5 linked regions of the Xenopus tropicalis genome follow. The protein of the gene in region 1 interacts with the protein of each later gene in a pairwise test. Links are inferred from orthologs where the notes say so. Each region holds a gene or a part of one and is shown on either strand. Other genes may lie near its edges.

What was found.
Region 2: the proteins of arrdc3 (region 1) and wwp2 interact in binary tests that used the Homo sapiens proteins (3 or more experiments, as listed by UniProt). The link is inferred for Xenopus tropicalis from reciprocal best matches to the Homo sapiens genes ARRDC3 and WWP2.
Region 3: the proteins of arrdc3 (region 1) and otub2 interact in binary tests that used the Homo sapiens proteins (3 or more experiments, as listed by UniProt). The two-hybrid records come from large-scale screens. The link is inferred for Xenopus tropicalis from reciprocal best matches to the Homo sapiens genes ARRDC3 and OTUB2.
Region 4: the proteins of arrdc3 (region 1) and nedd4l interact in binary tests that used the Homo sapiens proteins (3 or more experiments, as listed by UniProt). The link is inferred for Xenopus tropicalis from reciprocal best matches to the Homo sapiens genes ARRDC3 and NEDD4L.
Region 5: the proteins of arrdc3 (region 1) and stam2 interact in binary tests that used the Homo sapiens proteins (3 or more experiments, as listed by UniProt). The two-hybrid records come from large-scale screens. The link is inferred for Xenopus tropicalis from reciprocal best matches to the Homo sapiens genes ARRDC3 and STAM2.

What each region holds. Positions count from the first base shown.
Region 1 is NC_030677.2:178,685,967-178,690,834, forward strand, and holds the start of arrdc3 (arrestin domain-containing protein 3), read left to right. Parts: upstream 1-1,696; 5' UTR 1,697-1,885; coding exon 1,886-2,165; intron 2,166-3,780; exon of another isoform or gene 3,781-4,451; intron 4,452-4,868. UniProt on the Homo sapiens protein: Adapter protein that plays a role in regulating cell-surface expression of adrenergic receptors and probably also other G protein-coupled receptors.
Region 2 is NC_030680.2:60,922,837-60,927,750, forward strand, and holds the start of wwp2 (NEDD4-like E3 ubiquitin-protein ligase WWP2), read right to left. Parts: upstream 2,941-4,914; 5' UTR 2,902-2,940; intron 1-2,901. UniProt on the Homo sapiens protein: E3 ubiquitin-protein ligase which accepts ubiquitin from an E2 ubiquitin-conjugating enzyme in the form of a thioester and then directly transfers the ubiquitin to targeted substrates.
Region 3 is NC_030684.2:88,165,010-88,167,935, reverse strand, and holds part of otub2 (ubiquitin thioesterase OTUB2), read right to left. Parts: intron 974-2,926; coding exon 855-973; intron 361-854; coding exon 276-360; intron 1-275. UniProt on the Homo sapiens protein: Hydrolase that can remove conjugated ubiquitin from proteins in vitro and may therefore play an important regulatory role at the level of protein turnover by preventing degradation.
Region 4 is NC_030677.2:201,737,101-201,741,341, forward strand, and holds part of nedd4l (E3 ubiquitin-protein ligase NEDD4-like), read right to left. Parts: intron 3,261-4,241; coding exon 3,190-3,260; intron 2,768-3,189; coding exon 2,672-2,767; intron 1,201-2,671; coding exon 1,127-1,200; intron 1-1,126. UniProt on the Homo sapiens protein: E3 ubiquitin-protein ligase that mediates the polyubiquitination of lysine and cysteine residues on target proteins and is thereby implicated in the regulation of various signaling pathways including autophagy, innate immunity or DNA repair.
Region 5 is NC_030685.2:75,892,932-75,897,172, forward strand, and holds part of stam2 (signal transducing adapter molecule 2), read left to right. Parts: coding exon 1-62; intron 63-2,210; coding exon 2,211-2,265; intron 2,266-2,422; coding exon 2,423-2,567; intron 2,568-4,133; coding exon 4,134-4,241.

The sequences.
Region 1 (4,868 bases):
GAATTTCCAAGGCATTAGATATACCATGGAACACAGTGAAGACAGTCATCATCAAAGGGAGAAATATGGCACAACAGTGAATTACCAAGAACTGGACGTCCCTCCAAAATTGATGAAAAGACGAGAAGAAAACTGGTCAGGGAGGCTACCAAGAGGCCTACAGCAACATTAAAGGAGCTGCAAGAATATTTGGCAAGTACTGGCTGTGTGGTACATGTGACAACAATCTCCCGTATTTCTTTTCTTACGAAGAAAAACATCCAAGTCAGGCTACATTTTGCAAAAACACATCTGAAGTCTCCCAAAAGCATGTGGGAAAAGGTGTTATGGTCTGATGAAACCAAGGTTGAACTTTTTGGCCATAATTCCAAAAAATATGTTTGGGACAAAAACAATACTGCACATCACCAAAAGAACACCATACCCACAGTGAAGCATGGTGGTGGCAGCATCATGGGGCTGTTTTTCTTCAGCTGGAACTGGGGCCTTAGTTAAGATAGAGGGAATTATGAACAGTTCCAAATACCAGTCAATATTGGCACAAAACCCTCAGGCTTCTGCTAGAAAGCTGAACATGAGGAGGAACTTCATCTTTCAGCATGACAACGACCCAAAGCATACATCCAAATCAACAAAGGAATGGCTTCACCGGAAGATTAAAGTTTTGGAATGGCCCAGCCAGAGCCCAGACCTGAATCCGATTGAAAATCTGTGGGTTGATCTGAAGAGGGCTGTGCACAGGAGATGCCCTTGCAATCTGACAGATTTGGAGTGTTTCTGCAAAGAAGAGTGGGCAAATCTTGCAAGTCAAAACGTGCCATGCTGATAGACTCATACCCAAAAAGACTGAGTGCTGCAATAAAATCAAAAGGTGCTTTAACAAAGTATTAGTTTATGGGTGTGCACACTTATGCAACCACATTATTTTAGTTTTTTTGGTTTTCTTCCCTCCCCCTAAAAGATTTGTTTGTTTTTCAATTGAGTGGTACAGTTTATAGGGCACATTAAAGGTGGAAAAATTTCTAAAATGATTTATCTTTGTCTCATTGTTGTACAGCACAGGAACCTGACATTTTACCAGGGGTGTGTAGACTTTTTATATCCACTGTATATACACATTATACATTGTGCTGGAACTTGAAGCACAAATATTCGTGTGGTAGCAGTGAAGGGAGGAAGGGTAAACGTCAGTGAACAATAAGTTTCAGTTATACACATATTTATTATGATGATGGGGCAAAGACGGAATTAGAGGCAACGTTGACCTCGGAATATTCACTTCCTTATATTTTCCAATGGAGGGGGAAACGATTCCCTATATAAGCCCTGGGAAGGGGCACAGGATCAGAATGCTTCAGAAGTGACTGCAGCACCGCACCGACTGCATCACTCCAACACTTTTTGATGTTTCCCAAAGGCCTCACAAATCACCCGTTTACCTTTCGGATGTAGCTGCCTACGTTGGATGCATAAACAAAGGAATAGGAACTAAAAGGACACGTCCTGACCTACGAAGTTGTCTCTTGAATAAGAGAACCCTATATTAGAGGGCTAGCGGAGAGTGAGTGAGTGAGGGAAGAGTGGCAGAGGGGCGCGCATGCGCAGAGAGCTTGTTTTTCCCAAAGCCGCACATAAGTGAGCCGGCACACTGCAGACAGGCGTCTTTGTAAAGAGACCATAGAAGAGAGCACTGTGACAGCAGCTGCTGCTGTTACTTCTCCTACCTGTTCTTCCCGATGAGCTGGCCGCTGGGCGAGCACTGAGCCTGCCTGCAGTCTCTGCACGGCAAATGCATACTCCAGTGCTCTGGCAACATCGCCATTGATGTGAAATCGGAAACTTTTGTCTCCCCCCCAGAATATTTTTATAGCCCCCTTTTACAATCATGGTGCTGGGGAAGGTGAAGAGTTTGACCATAAGCTTTGACTGCCTCAATGGCAGCCACGTCCCCGTCTATTCCAGCGGGGATGCAGTCTCAGGAAGGGTCAATCTGGAAGTGACGGGGGAAATTCGGGTGAAATCCCTGAGGATCCATGCCAGGGGGCATGCAAAAGTCAGATGGACGGAATCAAGGAACGCTGGCTCCAACACTGCCTATACCCAGAATTATACTGAAGAAGTGGAGTATTTCAGTCATAAAGACATCCTGATTGGGCATGAGAGAGGTAAGGATGCTGGGGCTTTTATGGGGTGCTGGGGGTACCTGATATTGGGGTGTATTGGTTATCAGTCAGGCAGCCATTTATTTGTGTGAAGTTGTAGCCTTTATATTTAGCTGAGGGGCTTGGGAGTTGTAGTTCTACAGCATCAGCATAGTGCTTTGTTATTGAACTTATGGAACGGTCATTGCCCATTTGTTTGCATTGTGTGGCTGTATATACAGCTGCTGTGGGCTCCCATGGCTGTGCCCAGCTCGCCAGCCTAACTGGAAGGTGTGTGCCGCAGAGCCCGGGCAGCCTGTTGGGGAGCCCAGTGAATATGGGGGTGATTGGGCATGGGGGGGGGGGCATGGGGAGAGTTGAAGAGTCATTGCGAGCAGGGTGGGGGAAGTGAAGGAATCATCTTGTTTTTCTGAAGTTTACACCACCCTTTGTTAGAAGCGGTTCAATCCTGTTTTCGGCTAGTGGTGTCAGTGGAGAGAGAAGTGAGTGGGAGGGGGGAGCTGCGCTGCTTGCACGGGATTGGCTGATGGGGAGTCAGGTGGTGAGCAGGCTGAATCGCTTCCAAAGGAAAGAAGCACTGAATAACAGCAGTGTACCCCTCAATCCCTGCTGGGCGATATGTGGGTACCCACCCCACTCATGCATGGCGCATCCTTTGCACCTTCATTCAGTACAAATGTCTATATTTTCCATCGTTATTGCACCTCATAACGTTAGTATCACGCTAAGGAGCTGGCATTGCTGTTCCATGAATGGCTTGCAACTCTATATGGCTGCCCGGTGATACCATTCCAAGGCAGCGTTACTTGCCAGTGCTGCATTGCAATGAGTAGTGCTAGAGTAGTGCTGAGGGCAGTGTTTGGGCAAGAAGTGAGCGGCTCTCTGTACAATATGTGGTGCTAGCCTCCATGACTTAGTGGTATAGAGGTGCTGTCACTGAGCAAGTGAACGTTGCCGGACTCCATGCAATACACAGGGTTGGGCTCTCAATTCCAGGTCAGTAAGGGCTCGTAGGAAAATAAAGTATGTGCTGTGTATTAGTGGAACAGTGTAAGGAGCCAGAGTACTGGCAGGCTCTACTGCACAATGCTACTAGGCGCTAAGTAAGCCGGTCTCAGAGCTCAGTAATGCACCAACAGGTGTCCAGCCTCACACAGTGACTAGCAAAGCGCCCAAGGCATTGTTTCATTGTAGTGTGCTGCGAGCTGTGCCATTCTACCTCAGCAACTTACAGGTTAACAGTTACAGTTAGGTGCAGCGCCACACTAGCTTGCTTGGTGAGGGAGGAGGAAGGAAATCAGTGCCGCGCCCAACTCGCATTCGATTGGCCCAGAGCAGTTTGTTAGGCTGTTGTCAAGACAACGGCCGCTGAATGCGATTGGCTGGCCTTGTTGCTTAGGGCGCCAGGGAACAGGTGGAGTGAGATGGGCGTGCCCGTGACGTTTTAGCCTTCCCTGACGCTGCTAGTCCGCTGGCGCTAGAGCAGGGGGCGGTGATAGAGTATCAAGCTCATGGCTTTATTAGCGCAGCTGCCTTTATTGTGTTGCAGGGACTGTGTGTGGAATAGGCGTGCGTGTGATTGAGCCTTATCCTTATGCTCTATACTTACAGGGTGACTTATAGTTCATTAGCAGCCCACTGGTCTCCAGAGAGATACTTTCATCACATAATGCTTTATACTATGCTAGGGAGCAGTGCTTACAGCTGTGTAAGCCATTTATTATACCGGTCCTAAGCATTGCTAGTGCTGGCTACACACGTAGTATCGCTCTGGGCATTGCTAGTGCTGGCTACACACGTAGTACCGCTCTGGGCATTGGTAGTGCTGGCTACACACGTAGTACCGCTCTGGGCATTGCTAGTGCTGGCTACACACGTAGTACCGCTCTGGGCATTGGTAGTGCTGGCTACACACGTAGTACCGCTCTGGGCATTGCTAGTGCTGGCTACACACGTAGTACCGCTCTGGGCATTGCTAGTGCTGGCTACACACGTAGTACCGCTCTCAGCAAGAATCCAGCGTGGTCTCCTGTACACCCGGAAGCTGGGGGCGGGGGGAGGAGGTGGGCGGAGACATGGGTTAGGCTGCGCTCTCTGCGGCTGAGCTACGTAATAGCTATGCATATGAGGGACTGGCTGAGGTTCTGCTCGCACCGGTTCAGGCCGGTCCTCTCCTGCTGGAGTCTGCTTGTGATTGACAGTTCCACACTTGTTTACCACACTGTGCGGCTGCCTCTCTCTCGCCTGCTCACTTTGCAGCACATTGCTGAGCTGGCACAAAGGAAGAAAGTAAGGCAAGGGGAAAAGTGCTGCTCCATTAAGAAGAGAAACATATCAAATTATATTCAGTCAAGCAAACCGACTTAAATTACCAAATCACGTTGTGCTACCTATAGACTTGCTATAATATACCTCAGATTTACTATAATGTACATTTATTTATTTGTTTTAGCAGCTGCTCCCCTTTGTATTTCGGTCAGCTTTCCCTAGGTATTCATTCAAACAAGTATTAACCTTAATTCTTGTTTTATCATCAACTACAACCCACAATCCCCTATATAGTCAAAAGCCGCAACTGTAGGTGGTGCTCTACAGCTCAGCCTTCACTCAATTACAAATATATATATATAATTGTAAATTTGCTAAACTGGATCCTGCCCAGGATGCCAACCAACAGAATGTGACTCAGCGCTCACACACCCATGA
Region 2 (4,914 bases), on another chromosome or scaffold:
AGTAACACTACTATAATTTATATAATAAGCTGCTGTGTAGCCACAGGGGCAGCCAATAAAGCTGGAAAAAAGGAGAAAAGGCACAGGTTACATAGCAGATAACAGATAAGCTCTGTAAAATACAATAGTGTTTTATCTGTTATCTGCTATGTGCCTGTGCCTTTTCTCCTTTGAATGGCTGCCCCCATGGCTAGATAGCAGCTTATTTATATAAATTATAGTAGACTTTCTGAAGTAAACACACAACTTTTACCAGTGCAGGGCAGCAGCACATTATATTTTAGTTACTTTTATACACTTTCATTTTTTGGTGTTACTGTTCCTTTAAGTCAAGTTTTGTGTTGGATAAAGTACAGGTATGGGACCCATTATCCAGAATGCTCGGGACGTGGGGTTTTCTGGATAAGGGGTCTGTAATTCAGATCTCCTACCTTAAGTCTGCTAATAAAATTATTTAAACAGTAATTAAACCCAATAGGATTATTTTGTATCCAATAAGGATTAATTATGTCTTAGTTGGGATCAAGTACAAGGTTCTGTTTTATTACTACTGAGAAAAAGGAAATCATTTTTAAAAATGTGAATTATTTGATTAAAATTGGGTCTATGGGAGATGGCCTTTTCCTAATTTGGAACTTTCTGGATAATGGGTTTCCAGATAAGGGGTCTGATACCTGTACCAGGCAAATCCAAAAATAATGGATTCTGTGCATCCCTTCAACACAGCAAAAGTATGAACAGGGAGGACAAACATTTCAATATTGAGTTCTATGATGCATAAGAGGAAGGAGCCCATAGTTTACAATGGGTAGATAACATACAGACACAAAGGTTTGGGAATTGGCCCTTAATTGTTCTAGAACTCAAAATGGTAGAATCAGAGTTTCTTTTTGAAGAGGTTGAGAGACTGCCTCTTACGGAGCATTTCATGGATGAAAATACAGAAGTAAGGATCAGAAGCAGAGAAAGGTTATAAAATGAGATATGGAAGTGGATGTGGATATTATGTAAAGGCAGTGGCTCTGAATGAAACAGATGAGCCAGACAGAGAAAAGAATGGGGAAATGTAACACAGGTTAAATGATCAGCAGAAGATGTGTAAACTATTGTTTAATTAAAGGAACAGTAACACCAAATGATGAAAGTAATTATAATATAATATAAAGTTGCCCTGCACTGGAAACACTAATCTGTTTGCTTTAGAAACTCTACTATATTTATATAAATACCCTGCTGTGTAGCCATGGGGGCAGCCATTCAAGCTCGAAAAAAGACACAGGTTACATAGTAAATAACAAATAGGTCCTGTAGAATACAATTATGTTTTATCTGTTATCTGCTACATGATTTATGTCTTTTCTCCTTTTTTCCAGCTTGAATGGCTGCCCCTATGTCACATTTTATTTGAATTACTTTAAAACATTTTCATTTTTTGGTTTAACAGTTCCTTGTTTAAAGCGATACTGACATGTTCCTATGAAAATCCATAGGAACATATCAGTATTACTAAAACATTGCAGCACAAAAATATGTCCAGCCAAAGGACTGCCAAAGCCCAGCAGTACCTAGCTGTCAAGAAAGGGAAAGTGAATAAAAGAAGAGGTGCTATTTTCTTGGGTCATGCTGGACTGGGGTCAGCACAATCCTTTCATAGGTTAATAAGAAATAAAGCTAGTTCTTCAGCCTATGGAAGGATTACATTGCCTTAAGCCCAGTGTTAATGACACAACTACAGAGCATCCTTTAGCTATGTCAGATTGTGGGCTCAGGTAAGTATAGCTGAGCTAGGGATGTCTTTGGGGGAATTTTAGCTAGAAGGTATTTGGTGCAAAAACTCTTTAATAATACTTACACATTCTAATTATTTTTTATAGGAACATGTCAGTATAGCTCTACTAGGCTGCCAAGATAAAAAATTTTAACTGAGGGCAAGGTGGAATCTAGCAGCTGAGTTTAAAACAATGGAGAAAAAGGTGTGAGTCTGGGATGTATGTATGTATATTTTTATGTATAAAGCGCTACTTATGTACGCAGAGCTGTACAGTAGTGTACGCAGCGCTGGGATGGCACGATGCGTGTTTTAGCAGTTGCTTGAGAAAGAAAATCAGGGAACATGACAGTATTTTTAAGACGAAAGCAGAAGATTTTGGCAGTAGCATTAAAACAATCTGAGGATTAAAATGGTTAAAGATAAGTTCCAGGCAGCATGCTCAATTAACAATATTAATAAGCATGCCATCAAAGGTAATGCTAAAGAGATGAGACAGGCCAGATTTGGATGGCTAGACTACAGGATCCGTTTTTGTGAGGTTTATTTTGAGGTGGCACAGATTTATCCAGAAGGGAATACCTAGGAGTCAGCCAGAGATCTGGGTCTGCATGTCAGTGCTTCCTGGAAGGGTTTCTTAATATATCCTTATGTTAAATCGTTTTCCTTAACAGAGAGTGTACATGGCAAACAACATAATGATTGTGTCAGAGTTTTATAAGCTAGTGTAACAAGACCACTAACATAACTAGGAACCTTGTCACATATTTATGTTTTCGGTACAACACTGCGCACTGTTATGGCTTCTTGCCCTCCCACCACAATCCCAGTTCTCTCCTGAAATACAAAGTGCCCTCGAGCTATCGCCAATACACCGCTAGCAAAGTGTTTCAGTCTGCTGTCATATTCTCATTATTACACGAACACCATTACTAGGAACCTCCCCCAAACAAAGCAAACGTTCTCTGTACTTTAAATGTGTATTCCCCATCCCCTCACAATGTAAATCCAATCAATAACAAACAGCATAATATCTCTCTGCCTGCTTTATTCTTCCCCACTCTTCCAAATCAAATCTGTTTTACTGTCGCCGACCCTATGCTGTTCCGCCAAATTCTTTTATTTGTATTTACCTGCTACACCACTCTCTTCTTCACTTCCGCCTTCAGCACTTTCGGTCATGTGACCATTGGCCTTGTCACGTGACCCGGAAGAAAGTTTAGGTAGCACCGGATGCAGGAGGTGTTGGCGTTCTGTAGTGAGCTGCCATTTTACTATGGGGACGATATCCCGTGGGTTCTTAGCAACAATCTCTCTTTATCGTTCTTATTTCTCGGCACGCTAAAAGGCGTGAGGGACGTTTATATTCAATTAGTGAGTTACGGGAAGTGTCAGTTTTGCTATTGTGCGTACTCTAAGCACCGTTCCGCATTGTTTGTCTTATATTCTACTGTACTGGAAATGCAAAGCGATACAATTAAAGAATTTGTGTGAATTTTTTTCTACCTCGTTAAAAGATTTTTTGCATGGTCTGTAACCAATTGTGGTGTTGCTGCTTCTGGGATACAATGCTATGTTCTCTATTCTTTTAATATGTTTCCATATTGGTGACATTAGCAGCAAGTCTTATTTTTAGCAGCTGGGACGGCCAGGCGGCAGCCCCACCAACAATTCCCTATAAATAAGTGGACAGAAGATAATAACTAAGCTCGGATCTGCAACTGCCCGTTCATTGTTGATTTTTTAATGGATACCGTTGTTCCCCCCCCCGGTTGAAACATAGATATATTAATTTTTCTGGCATTACTATACTATGCATGCAGTGGCCCAGGGCAGCAGAGGAAGCTGTGGGGCATTAAATAAAAGATGATTGCACAGCACTCTAGTGGAGATTACCTTGGACCTATGTTAGAGTTTGTTCCCAAAGATGTTCAATGTATTGTCATTTTGCTGGAAGCTGTACTACTTTCCTCTCCCCTTTTTTCTTTCATTTATTCCACACATCTCTTGCTTTATATATTATGTATTGTTTAGAAAAAAAGTAGGGGGAACAACAGTTACTATATATATATATATATAATTTTATATGTAGCAAGAAGACAGGCACTCTCGTAAAAGTAGGTCCAAAGGAGCCTGGGTGCAGTTCCAAAATAATAGATGGAGTAGCTGTAGAGAGAGTCCGCACTCACAGGTCTTACAGAAAATATAGAGGTTTTATTCAAATCAACATCTAACGTTTCGGCTGCATCCACAGCCTTTCTCAAAGTCTTTGAGAAAGGCTGTGGATGCAGCCGAAACGTTAGATGTTGATTTGAATAAAACCTCTATATTTTCTGTAAGACCTGTGAGTGCGGACTCTCTCTACAGCTACTCTTTATATATATATACACATACACAAGGAAGAGTGGAGCACACCCTATAAAAGTTCAAATGCCCTGGGTGCTGGCTGGTTTGGCCTTTTGGTTTGTCCCTGAGGAAGAGTACAGTTAGTACTCTAAATGTTGGATTTTTTTGAATAAAATTTTTTCACTTTATCGTTAAGTCCTTGTGTGCGGCTCTCTGTCTATATATATATATATATATATATATATATATATATATAGTTTAAATATGAAGAATTCAAATCAGAATAGCAGAAGGGGAAAAGGCAGAGAAGATAATGAATAGAAAGGTGGTGATTCAGATTCTGTTCAAAACAGCAGATTAGATGAACATTTATGTATAAATTCTTTCGGAGCAGTTACATTTCCTTGTGCTGCTAACTCTCTAAACACTGCAAATACAACGTATACTACAACATAAGGTTGCATAAAAAACAGCGGCAATGATCTACATGACTCTAAAAGGGTCCCAATTTATTAGATACCCAATGGTTGGTGCTACATTCCCCTAAAAAGCACACCAGGTCCAAGGTAATTTCCACTAGAGTGCCGTGCATGTGTATATCCAAACAGGCTGTGATATTACATTGGGACTTTGCTTCTGATTATTGTAATGTATCCACCATATGCTGGAATCTTTTGATTTTAGCTTAATTTCACCAAAGTTCATATGAGCAGGATACCTGCAATTTTAAAATCTGCCCTTGATTAAGCAACCTGGGAGCCTTATTGAGTGTTCTCATAGATACTGTATTCAGTGCAAAG
Region 3 (2,926 bases), on another chromosome or scaffold:
TGGTGAGAGCTACAAATTCTAATATATGTAGCAAAATACCAAAATGCATTAAATCCATGTTTAATAACTGAATCATTGTTTTAGTGCAGTTTTACAATACTCAGGAGTTTTCCTTAAGCAAAATATGTTACTTGTATCGTTATACTAATGTGCTAAATTCTTAGACCCATTCAGAAAAATTGTTAGTCAAAAAAGTACCAAAGGAAATTGTCAAAAGAAAAACTAAACAGAGCAAGCCCTTGTGACCATTTCTGTTTTGCTTTTACTTTACTTACAGTTTCATAGTGGTGCTTAAACAAGTGTTCTTGAAATCCAGCCATTACCACTTCACTCTTACTCTGGACCACAAGATGTTTAAATCTGAAGAAAATAAAGTAGAAAGTACAACTGTGATTTTAGACATGACTTGGTCACAAACAAACCCCTCAGTATGTTAGTTGCCTGAACCTTTCTCTTGCCCTTAATTAGCACTATTATAAAATTGCTTATTTCAGACTGTATATTAAAGCTACATGTATTAAAGAGACATATATTACTTTTTTCTCTTCTGAGAAGTGCTCCCAGGTAATTCTTAAATTAAGCCAATAAACCGCTTTCCCCTGCTCATAAAGTGGGTAATGTAATTAAAGTCTAGTCATCCCTAGCAGATGTCATATCAGATATTTGTCAATTGGTTCATATGGGTCACTAGATCTGGTTCAAACTTTTATTACATTGATCCCTTTATTGGGAATTCCACGACCTTGAGTGGCTTATGACATACACAGAGTTATGTTTTGTGCTTTATCAAATAAAAGCAATGAACTCAACACTAAATCGTGCTATCTACGCAATAAACCAAATGTTGTACACACCTAAGAATTTCTTGCTGTTTGCCCAGTAGAAATTCCAGGTAAGCAAAGCAAAGTCCTCTGTAAAAACAGCTCCCATCTGCCCGTGTCTTCCTTACGCTGTGGTACTGGTTTTGTAGATCCTGTGTTTTTAAAATAATTACAAATGTTTTAATGGTGCAATTCAACTATGTTTTGGATTTACAAATCCATGGTGATGGTGCCATAGCCTTTAATGTATACCCTTTTAAACAAACAAGCATACCAGATCCACCAAGCAGCCAACTGCATAGAGCTCTGTAAAAAGAAAACTGCCAATGAAGTACAGGTATAGGACCCATTATCCAGAATGCTCAGGACCAAGGGTATTCCGGATAAGGGGTCTTTCCGTAATTTGGATCTCCATACCTTACGTCTACAAAAAAATCAATTAAACATTAATTAAACCCAATAGGATTGTTTTGCACCCAATAAGGATTATTTATATCTTTGTTGGGATCAAATACACGGTTCTGTTTTATTATTACAGAGAAAAAGGAAAATAGTTTTAAAATTCTGAATTATTTGATTAAAATGGGGTCTATGGGAGACGGGCTTTCCGTAATTCGGAGCTTTCTGGATAGCGGGTTTCTGGATAAGGGATCCCATACCTGTACTACAGGTATGGGACTTGTTATCTACTAAAAAAAATATAAATATTTGTTAAACCAAATACAATTGTTTTAGCTCCAATACGTATTCATTATATCTTAGTTGCGGTCAAAATGGTGAAAAAATGGTTTTAAAAATGTTAATTATTTTATTAAAATAAAGTCCATGGGACCTGGCCGCCTGGTAATTCAGAGATTTCTGGATAATGGCTTTCTAGATAACGGATTCTATACCTGTACTGCATCAAGCATAAAAGTTTATGTATGAACAAAGAAAAACCCCAAAGAGCCTGCATGTACAGACAGACAGGGAGATAATAAAAAAGCAACTTGATTATTTTCAGAAATGGTTTTTGTAATATAGTTTTCCTTTTAAACTTGGTATGGTTTTAAAATTATTCTTTTATTTTCTTTTGTTATTGGTCACCTTTCAATTAAGGCCCTTAATGAGTAATGTTCTCTTATGTCTATGAAGATTCTCATTCATCCAGGTCATGATATACAGTATCTAGTAGAATTAAGTCTAAAACAACTGGACTGGAGTTTTTCTTGAAAACGTTTCACCACTCATCCGAGTGGCTTCTTCAGTTCAAATGACTGGTAGGGAATTCCCCGGTATTTAAACTCTTGATGGTAGTAGAGTCACAGACATCCAATCACAATGGTTCCATTGAACTTGTTCAGTTAGGTGTTAGCTGAAACTGACAGGTATAAGAAGGTATGATCCAATCACAATGGTACCAAGATTCTCATTGATGAAGGTGTTAATCCTTCAAAGTACATGACTGGAAGTGTGAACTGTTGTGAAACTGCCGGGGTAAGGATGTCAACGCGCCATTGTATGTTGGTGACAAGCGGTGTCTCAGGCCCCCTCCTCTGTTCAGGGATGGTTTTTCCAGGTTGGCATAAATGGCCTCTTTCACACCTCTTTCAAACCATCTGTCCTCTCGGTCCAAAATATGCACGTTACTGTCCTCAAAAGAGTGACCTTTTTCTTTGAGGTGTAGATAGACCGCTGAGTCAATGGAACCATTGTGATTGGATGTCTGTGACTCTACTACCATCAAGAGTTTAAATACCGGGGAATTCCCTACCAGTCATTTGAACTGAAGAAGCCACTCGGATGAGTGGTGAAACGTTTTCAAGAAAAACTCAGAAAAGTCCAGTTGTTTTAGACTTAATTCTACTAGATAATGTTCTCTTATGACTTCCAAGCTACTGCCTGGTTGATCGGGTTATTAAACCTAGCAAAAAAACAAAGTTATAACGCAGAGAATGAAAAATATAAATATTTTAAAAAAATACTATTAAAAATAAAGAGTAACTGCAAATTTCAGTATATGCCTTCATTCTACTCGTAATAAAATGTACCTTTTAAATTAAATTGTCCTTATTAATAAAAATCACATTAGATGTTGGGAAAACATTTTTGTTCATATGTAAACT
Region 4 (4,241 bases), about 23 Mb from region 1:
TTCCCCAGAATTTTATATAACTTGAGATTTAAAGCATCTGCAGGAATAATAGGAACAGGAATAATGCGCTGCCTGTTCTCTTCATGACTCAAACCGTGACTAAAAATAACAGAATGGTAAATAAGCAGCTGGCGTGCCTTTGTTTATGGGAAGGGAAAAATCACATCTAATGCGTCTGAAATGTCAGCGCACAGCCCTGATTTTATCAATAGACATCACTCGCCATTGTCTAACGCGCGTCTGTGTATGTATGAATGTATAAATGTATGTATAAATGTATATATATACAGATTTGCAAGGTACAGCTGTGCTTCTATCCACTTTCTATTGTGCTTCTTGTTCCTCCCAATAAGGGACTAAAACCTATTTACTAGGGAAACCCTTAGTTAACTCGTATGGGGTTATGTAATAAATGGCACTAAGTTTGCCCAAGAGCAGTAACCCATAGCAACCAATAAGCAGGTAGAATTTACTGGTCACCTGTTTATAAGCAAATGTCTTATTGGTTGCTACGGGTTACTGCTACTGGGCAAATTTAGTGCCTTTTATTACATATGGGGGTCTGTATGTTATAGAATGCCCTATTCCTGGCAACTTTGCACTGGTCTTCATTATTTATTTTTTATAGTTTAAGAATATTTGCCTTCCCTTTTCTGCTTCTTTCCAGCTTTCAAATGGGGGTCACTGACCCCGGCAGCCAAAAACTATTGCTCTGTGAGGCTCCAGTTTTATTGTTATTGTTACTTTTTATTACTTATCTTCTGATTTGGTTCTTCTTCTATTCGTATTCCTGTCTCTTATTCAAACAACTGCCTGGTCGCTAAGGCAAATAAGATCCTAGCAACTAGACTGCTGCTGAAATACCAAGCTTGAAAGCTGCTGAACAAAAGTTAAATACCTGTAAAATCACTAAAAATATAAAAATGAAGACCAACTGCAAATTGTGTCAGAATATTAATGTCTACATCATACTAAACGTTTATTTAAAGGTGAACAACCCCTTTATGATCAGAGCAATAACTGAACTTTGAATTGATGTCTGTAAGTTTTGGGAAAGCAAAACCAATGAATTACATTCAGGCAAATGTGAATGAAACACCGAGAAGAGATGAAGAACAGAACCTACTCAATGTACTCTCGCTTGTTGTCATTGGTCACGACCATCTCAGATCCATTGGGCTTCAGATCCACCTGATACGTCTACAGAACAAGCAAATGGGTCTTCGTTAGTATAAATGCACCGCCGGCCTCGTTATTAAGGGGAAATGAATTTTATAGTGGAAGAACCGTAAGTTTCAAATGGATCCCATATTTATCAAGCAGCAGTTCATACAATTCTATATTCCATTAGTAAAGTGAAAATAAATAAAACATATAAAGTATGGCGCCATATTTACACCCATCCCGTATTTACACCAATCAATGGGACCACTGCTATTTACACGGCTTTATACATACGCTACGACATCCTTATCACCATAGTAACCAAGACATCAATCAAACTTATTTTTTTTACTACTTTCATCCCCATAATACAATGATTCCCAAACTGTGGGAACTTAAAGCAGTAGGTGCTCAGTCTAAAGGCCAATAAGATTTGGGGGTTTGTTTATTCGCTCCTATTGATACACCTGAAAGCCCAGCTTGAATGTCAACTGGGATGAGATTTGTGGGTGAAAATGTATTTGCAGCCCTAGATATTATTGGAACTAAATCTGGCCATTAGGCATATTGGTACATTTATGTTGGCCACTGGCTTATGCCCAATGATTAGGCCAACCTACAAGATTGGGGATAAGTATAAATGTATATAAATATTAATGTATATGCTATATATATGGTGTGTTATTTTTGTATAGTGCTTTTGCATTGCTTTGAGTTGATTGTTTTGCAATTTCGTTGTCCAAGTGATAATGACAATAAAGATTATTCATTCATTCATATATAACGGGAGGGGCATTTCTAGCAGAATGACTATACAGCTATTTACAGCAGCCAAGCTAAGTATATTGGAAGCCCGCTCTATTGGTAGCTGGCGTTAAGGACAGAGCTGAATCAGTGGAAGACCATATGGGCTCATTTATCAATACTGGGCAAATTAGCCCCTGGGCAGTATCCTAAAGCAACCAAACAGTAATTGGCTTTTTTTAAAACAGCATCAGGTAGAACGATGAATGCAACACTTTGATTGGTTGCCATGGGTTACTGCCCACAGGCCAAAATTTGCCCAGCACGAATGACCTCCCATAATTCCTAGGAAACCCGGCAGGCAGGCAACTGTTTCGTGAAATAAGTTTGCACAGGAGCTTGCAGGTGATTCACATCGGGGGCTTTGGTACTGTGTTTTTGGGCCACACACAGGAGAAATTTGGACCCTTGGATAACCTGTTGCTGGCCCTTACTCATTAATCTGACTCTGATAACTCTATGATTAATTCAGTTTATTGATAATTACCAGATTACACTAGGGTTTCACAGGTTGGGTGATTGTTTTACACCCCCATAATGGCGTTATAATGGACAGCCATGTTTGGTATGTTGAGGCAAGACTCACCTACCTGTACTTACCTGCAGGTTGCTATGGGCGACTGATTTTATATGTGAAACCTTCTCAAACATGCAATAAAATGACAGCCATGATTTCAGCTGAATAACTTGGGCTGGTACCCACCTGACCGAAGTTTTCTTCATCTATGCAAAACCTGAGATCCAGCTCGGTTGGGTCGTTTTCTAAGATCCATTTTAAGGAATTGTAGTATTCACTGTCCTATAAAAACAAGATGCACAGTAATTATTAGCCACGCAGTATCCTGGCGATGGCAGCGAGTAACGTGCAGGAGAAATCTTGACTTGATTGGAGAATATGGGGGTTATGTAATAAATGGCACTAAGTGTGCCCAGGAGCAGTAACCCATAGCAACCAATCAGCAGGAAGCATTTACTGGTCAACTGTTAAAAAGCAATCATCTAATTGGTTGCTACTGGTTACTGCTCCTGGGCAAACAAAGTGCCATTTATTACATATGGGGCATTATCAGTACTGAGTATCTTCCTGCCAGGAAACAATGAAGCTTGGGGGTCACAGCTTATTATTATTATAGACAATATTAATATGAAATAATAGTATTAGCCTACAATAATTTAACCACAGGGAGGTTTGGCAAAGAATATGGCGCCCAGACAACTTACCACTGACTCCATGTCTTTCAGCGTTATTTGTTTCCCCAGCATCATCTTATAGAATGGTCTAATGAAGAAACCTAAAGGGACGCAGAACAGCAAAAAGGGAAACATTAGAAGAGGTGACAAACAGCAACAAGCAGAAATACATGGAACACAGGCACGGGGGAAAGGCACCTACATTTTTTACCACAATGCACTGGGGCACCCATTACTGTAATTGGGAGTTATTGTGCCACGGTGAGGGCTAATCTGTAAATCCACATCAAAGGCACGGTGCCTGTTAGCAATAATAAGGATTGGGCACTGTTCCCAGCGTGGGGAAGAGCTATCATTCCCCTAATGCTTACTGAAGGGCTCTACAGGGCTGATAAGCACTAATGGAAGAATTGGAAATGATGAGGTCCAATAAGCTGGCAAATCGGCTAATGACTGCTAGAAAGCAGCACTCAGACGGGGGCACACAAACAGAATCGCTCTGAGAATGCTTTATATCCAACTGTGTGTGCAGAACAATTGTAGGCACAACAAATGCTAAAGATTGTTCCATGGATTGGTCTCAAACAACTCCCCGCACCCTGCACCGTCCTTATGTGACTGGTGGATTGGAGAAGCGATACGTAACAAGGCTGATTTATCTGCCCTTGGAATGCCGTGCTATAATTTTAATCACCGTAAAGGATTTATCTGCAGACTTTTACTTATAGGGAAATGGCCCAAAACTGGGCAGGCAGAACAGCTGTCCTTGTACAACCTCTTCTTGGCAAACTCCCAGCGAGAGTCTAACAAAGCTGCATTTTCTCCTTTAGTGGTTCAAGTTTGAGACTGCAAGTAAGAGGCTTTGGGCACAAGAGCACTCTCTGACGGTCAGACAGCCAGAAACGCTAGGGTTACCTGACTGTGCATGAAGTGCTACAGAGTTAAGCTGGCCATACACGTTAAGATTCGCTTGCTTGGCAAAGTCGCCAACCTACGGGTGGGTGATATCGGGAAAATGTAGGCTAATTCGATCGTTTGGCCCTGGGGAGCAATGGGGCAGTAGGTTCGGGGTCCGCATCAAC
Region 5 (4,241 bases), on another chromosome or scaffold:
GCTTCAGAGCATTGATCCAACAGATCCCAAGCCTGACTCTTCTGCTCTTCTGGATTTAGAAGGTATGGATAAGAGGAGTGCCCAGTGCTTACTCACAGATATGTAACTGACTGTATAGTTTGGGCTTCTGAGGCCGCCTCAGCCTTTTAGCAGTAAAACTTGGTACTAAAGTCGGCCCCCAAATGCTTCCCATTTCATGCAGCATAGAAATCAGTGCAGTCTATGTCACATTTAATTAATAACCAGCCCCGTAGTTTAGATAATTTCCAACGACCCCTAATCTTAGCTTCTCGGCGGCAGCCCAGAGCTTACTGAGCATGTGCAGTGCCACTGGCACACAAAAGACAACCTAAGGGGAAGTTTCTTTGTGCAACTTGGACCATTACTGTTATAGGTCTGGACCATTACTGTTATAGGTCTGTTCAGGGTCGGACTGGGCCGCCAGGACACCGGGAAAAATGCCGGTGGGCCCTGTCCGACCCTTTCCGGCGCTCCCCCTGCCCGACTGTTCCTCCCCTGACGCGTTAATTTTATATGCGCTCGGGGAGGACGTCTGGTAGGGGCCCTGCGGTGGGGGGGAGTTAGTGGGGCCCCTGGGGGGGTTAGGGGGACACGGCCGGCGGGGGCATCTGCAGGGCCCCTGGGGCGGGAGCCCCTGTGGGCCCTGCACCCCCCAGTTCGACCCTGGGTCTGTTCAACCTTTGGTACAGGCTTCTTACACACAGCAGACAGGGTCCATCCCTGTATTCAAGTTTGCCTTTTGGCACAGTTAAGAAATTCCTCCCTATGCTGCAGTTGCTTAGTGCACAATAGGACTGAGGCTCATTTGTTTGTCCATCACTGTTAAACTGGCCATACACTATAGGGCTAGGTAGCTAAATGAGCAGGCCTTTTTCCCCAATAAGCCCACCTCTGGGGCAATATCCTGCTAATCTGATCATGAATACGAACTATCAGGTGAGTGAGGATTGCATTGATAAGCCAATGCGGTTTCCAACTGGAAGATGAAACCTGCCCGATCAATATCTGCCTGATTTTCTGCCACATATTGATCAGGTAGGCGAAGTGGAGGGCCCCATACACAGACAGAGAATGTAGAATCGGTCTGAAGGGTGTGAATTGGCTGCCTCTTAAATCTGCCCATGTATAAGCTGCTACGAATTGGCAAAGGGCAAGATGATCTTTGCCCCCCATGCAACACCCCAGGTGCCAACGTCATACATATGGTCTGGTCATGTTCCCCTATAATGAGATTTAGAAGGACATAATGGAGAACCTGGCCCTGGAACTGTGCACTCCTCAAATAGTTGACCACGTGGTCTGCTTACTGGGGGTTATTGATGATGTAGTACCTACCAGCGCAACCAGAATTTGGCTCCATACACTTTTGTTTTATGGCAAAAAGACAGTGATTATGCATTGGATGGGGAGTAACCGGCCCTCCCTGAATGTGTGGAGTCAGTTAGTGGATAGAGCACTCTCACTCATGAAACTTATATATGAAACACGTGGGGCTGTAGAGGATATGGGGAGATTGGTGTAATCCCCTTTTTAAAAAAAAAAAAAAAAAAAAAAAATCTGCTCATGTATGGCCACCTTTAGTCTGACCCTAACTGGCAATCTGTAGATTCTGGCAAATGCCACAGTGGCTGCTGTTGATGAGGGTGGGGCTTTTTGGGCCTCTGTTTACGTGAATTGCCAGGGCCTGTACTGACTCTTAATCTGAACCTGCTGTTAGTATGGATATGGATGAATAAATACTCTTACAGAATGCAGCTGAGCTTCCAGTAACATCAGAGACTTCACACTGTTCATATTGTGTACGGCTATTATATGGCAAGCACATATTGTATCCCAGTGCAGCCCTAACACATTATTTATCTCCGATAAATAAGGGCACCTTTCTTTTCTTTTACCTAGCAACAACCAGTACTTGGCTGAAAATGAATTTCAAAAGAAAATTAACATCTTGCAATGTAGCTCTGCTTAGAAAATGATCATCAGATGTTTCTCTGGTCAGTTCTAAGCAGAGCCACTGTCACAACATGTTAATTTTCTACGGGCTGGGTCCAGTCAAAATGAACAGCAGGTGGCGCTGTTGCTTCAGATTCACTCTTTTCACAGTGTTAAAATATGAGAACTTACTGCATTTGTAATCATCACACATTAGGAAATTGCTTCTCACCAAGTCTTATTTTTAACTCGTGCAGACGTCTGCCAGCAGATGGGCCCCATGATCGACGATAGGTTACAAGAGATTGACAGGTGAGTTCATGCAGACATATGGTCAGTGTACTGCCTCAATGATATGGAGGGAATGCTTTTACCGAGGGCAATCAATATCTGAATGTTTTCATGTGCCTTACGCTATAAGTTTAATGTTATCTTCTATTTGGATAATTACCTTTTTTCCCCCAATCAGGAAACATTCCGAGCTCTCAGAACTAAATGTGAAAGTAATGGAGGCCGTAGAGTTATACAATAAGTTAATGAATGAAGCTCCTATGTATTCTGTGTATAACAAGCCCCAGGCACAGGGTCATTACCCTGCTGGGGTATCTATGCAGGTGAGTGCTTCTTTCTTCTGCCAATTATTTACACCCAGCTGTGCCCATACAGCTGCCAGTCAAGATATGGGGCGTAATACCACCAAGTGGGGGGCACCAAGCAGCCAGTCCTGGGGTATTTAATATTAGAGCTTGGGGCTGTGTAATTTGACTAGCTGTATGTAGAAAGCAGTACAGCAGCACTTTGCTTTAATATGATTAAACCTTTCACGAAGAATTGATCTATAGTTCCAAAAATAGATGCCATTTGTGATGCCAATATTTTCTATCTAATGCAGAGGTTTTCCTTTATGATGCAGAGTTAGGGCAGGGAAAGGAGAGGAAGGCTCCATTCTGGTCTCTTTGTTATCTGCTATAGAGAGGGGGAGAGCTTTGATCTCTTTTCCTGTGTGAGCGCTTTGATACTGTCTAGAGAGACATCTGATGGAGAAAGAGCTGGAAATGGGTTCTCTACAGTTGGCCATGTGATACTGAAAAAGGATTAAAGGGGAACAGTCATCTCAATAGGGCCTTATACTGTGTTATTCATGCCTGCATCCGTCACATACTGACTGTAGTACAGAAAGGAACGTTATACTAAATCATAATGAAAAGGATAGACAAAATAAAGGCCCCCCCGGCTGCTGATTTGCCACCCAACCAAGAAATACTGAGCGCATTCAGGCAGCCATGATATGGATGGGACCTAGGGCCCTTACCTGCCTGCAGACAGCCATGATAAGGATGGGACTTAGGGCCATTACCTGTCTTCAGACAGCCATGATTTGGATGGGACTTAGGGCCATTACCTGCCTGCAGACAGCCGTGATAAGGATGGGACTTAGGGCCATTACCTGTCTTCAGATAGCCATGATTTGGATGGGACTTAGGGCCCTTACCTGCCTTCAGACAGCCATTATAAGGATGGGACTTGGGGCCATTACCTGTCTTCAGACAGCCATGATAAGGATAGGACTTAGGGCCCTTACCTGCCTTCAGACAGCCATTATAAGGATGGGACTTAGGGCCATTACCTGTCTTCAGACAGCCATGATAAGGATGGGACTTAGGGCCATTACCTGTCTTCAGACAGCCATGATAAGGATGGGACTTAGGGCCCTTACCTGCCTTCAGACAGCCATTATAAGGATGGGACTTAGGGCCATTACCTGCCTTCAGACAGCCATTATAAGGATGGGACTTAGGGTCATTACCTGTCTTCAGACAGCCATGATAAGGATGGGACTTAGGGCCCTTACCTGCCTGCAGACAGCCATGATTTGGATGGGACTTAGGGCCCTTACCTGTCTTCAGACAGCCATGATAAGGATGGGACTTAGGGTCTTTACCTGCCTTCAGACAGCCATGATAAGGATAGGACTTAGGGCCCTTACCTGCCTTCAGACATCCATGATAAGGATAGGACTTAGGGCCATTACCTGCCTTCAGACAGCCATGATAATAATGGGACTTAGGGCCCTTACCTGCCTTCAGACAGCCATGATAATAATGGGACTTAGGGCTGTTACCTGCCCTTGCAGAAGTATGGTGATTAACCCCTTTGTGTTTATTTTCCATCTATATTAGAGTTATCACAGCCAGGCACAGGGCGGCAGCTATATGGTGCAGAGTATGCCCCAGGTACAGCCGGCGACACTCCCCCAAGGATACAGTATGGCCTCGGATCATATTGGA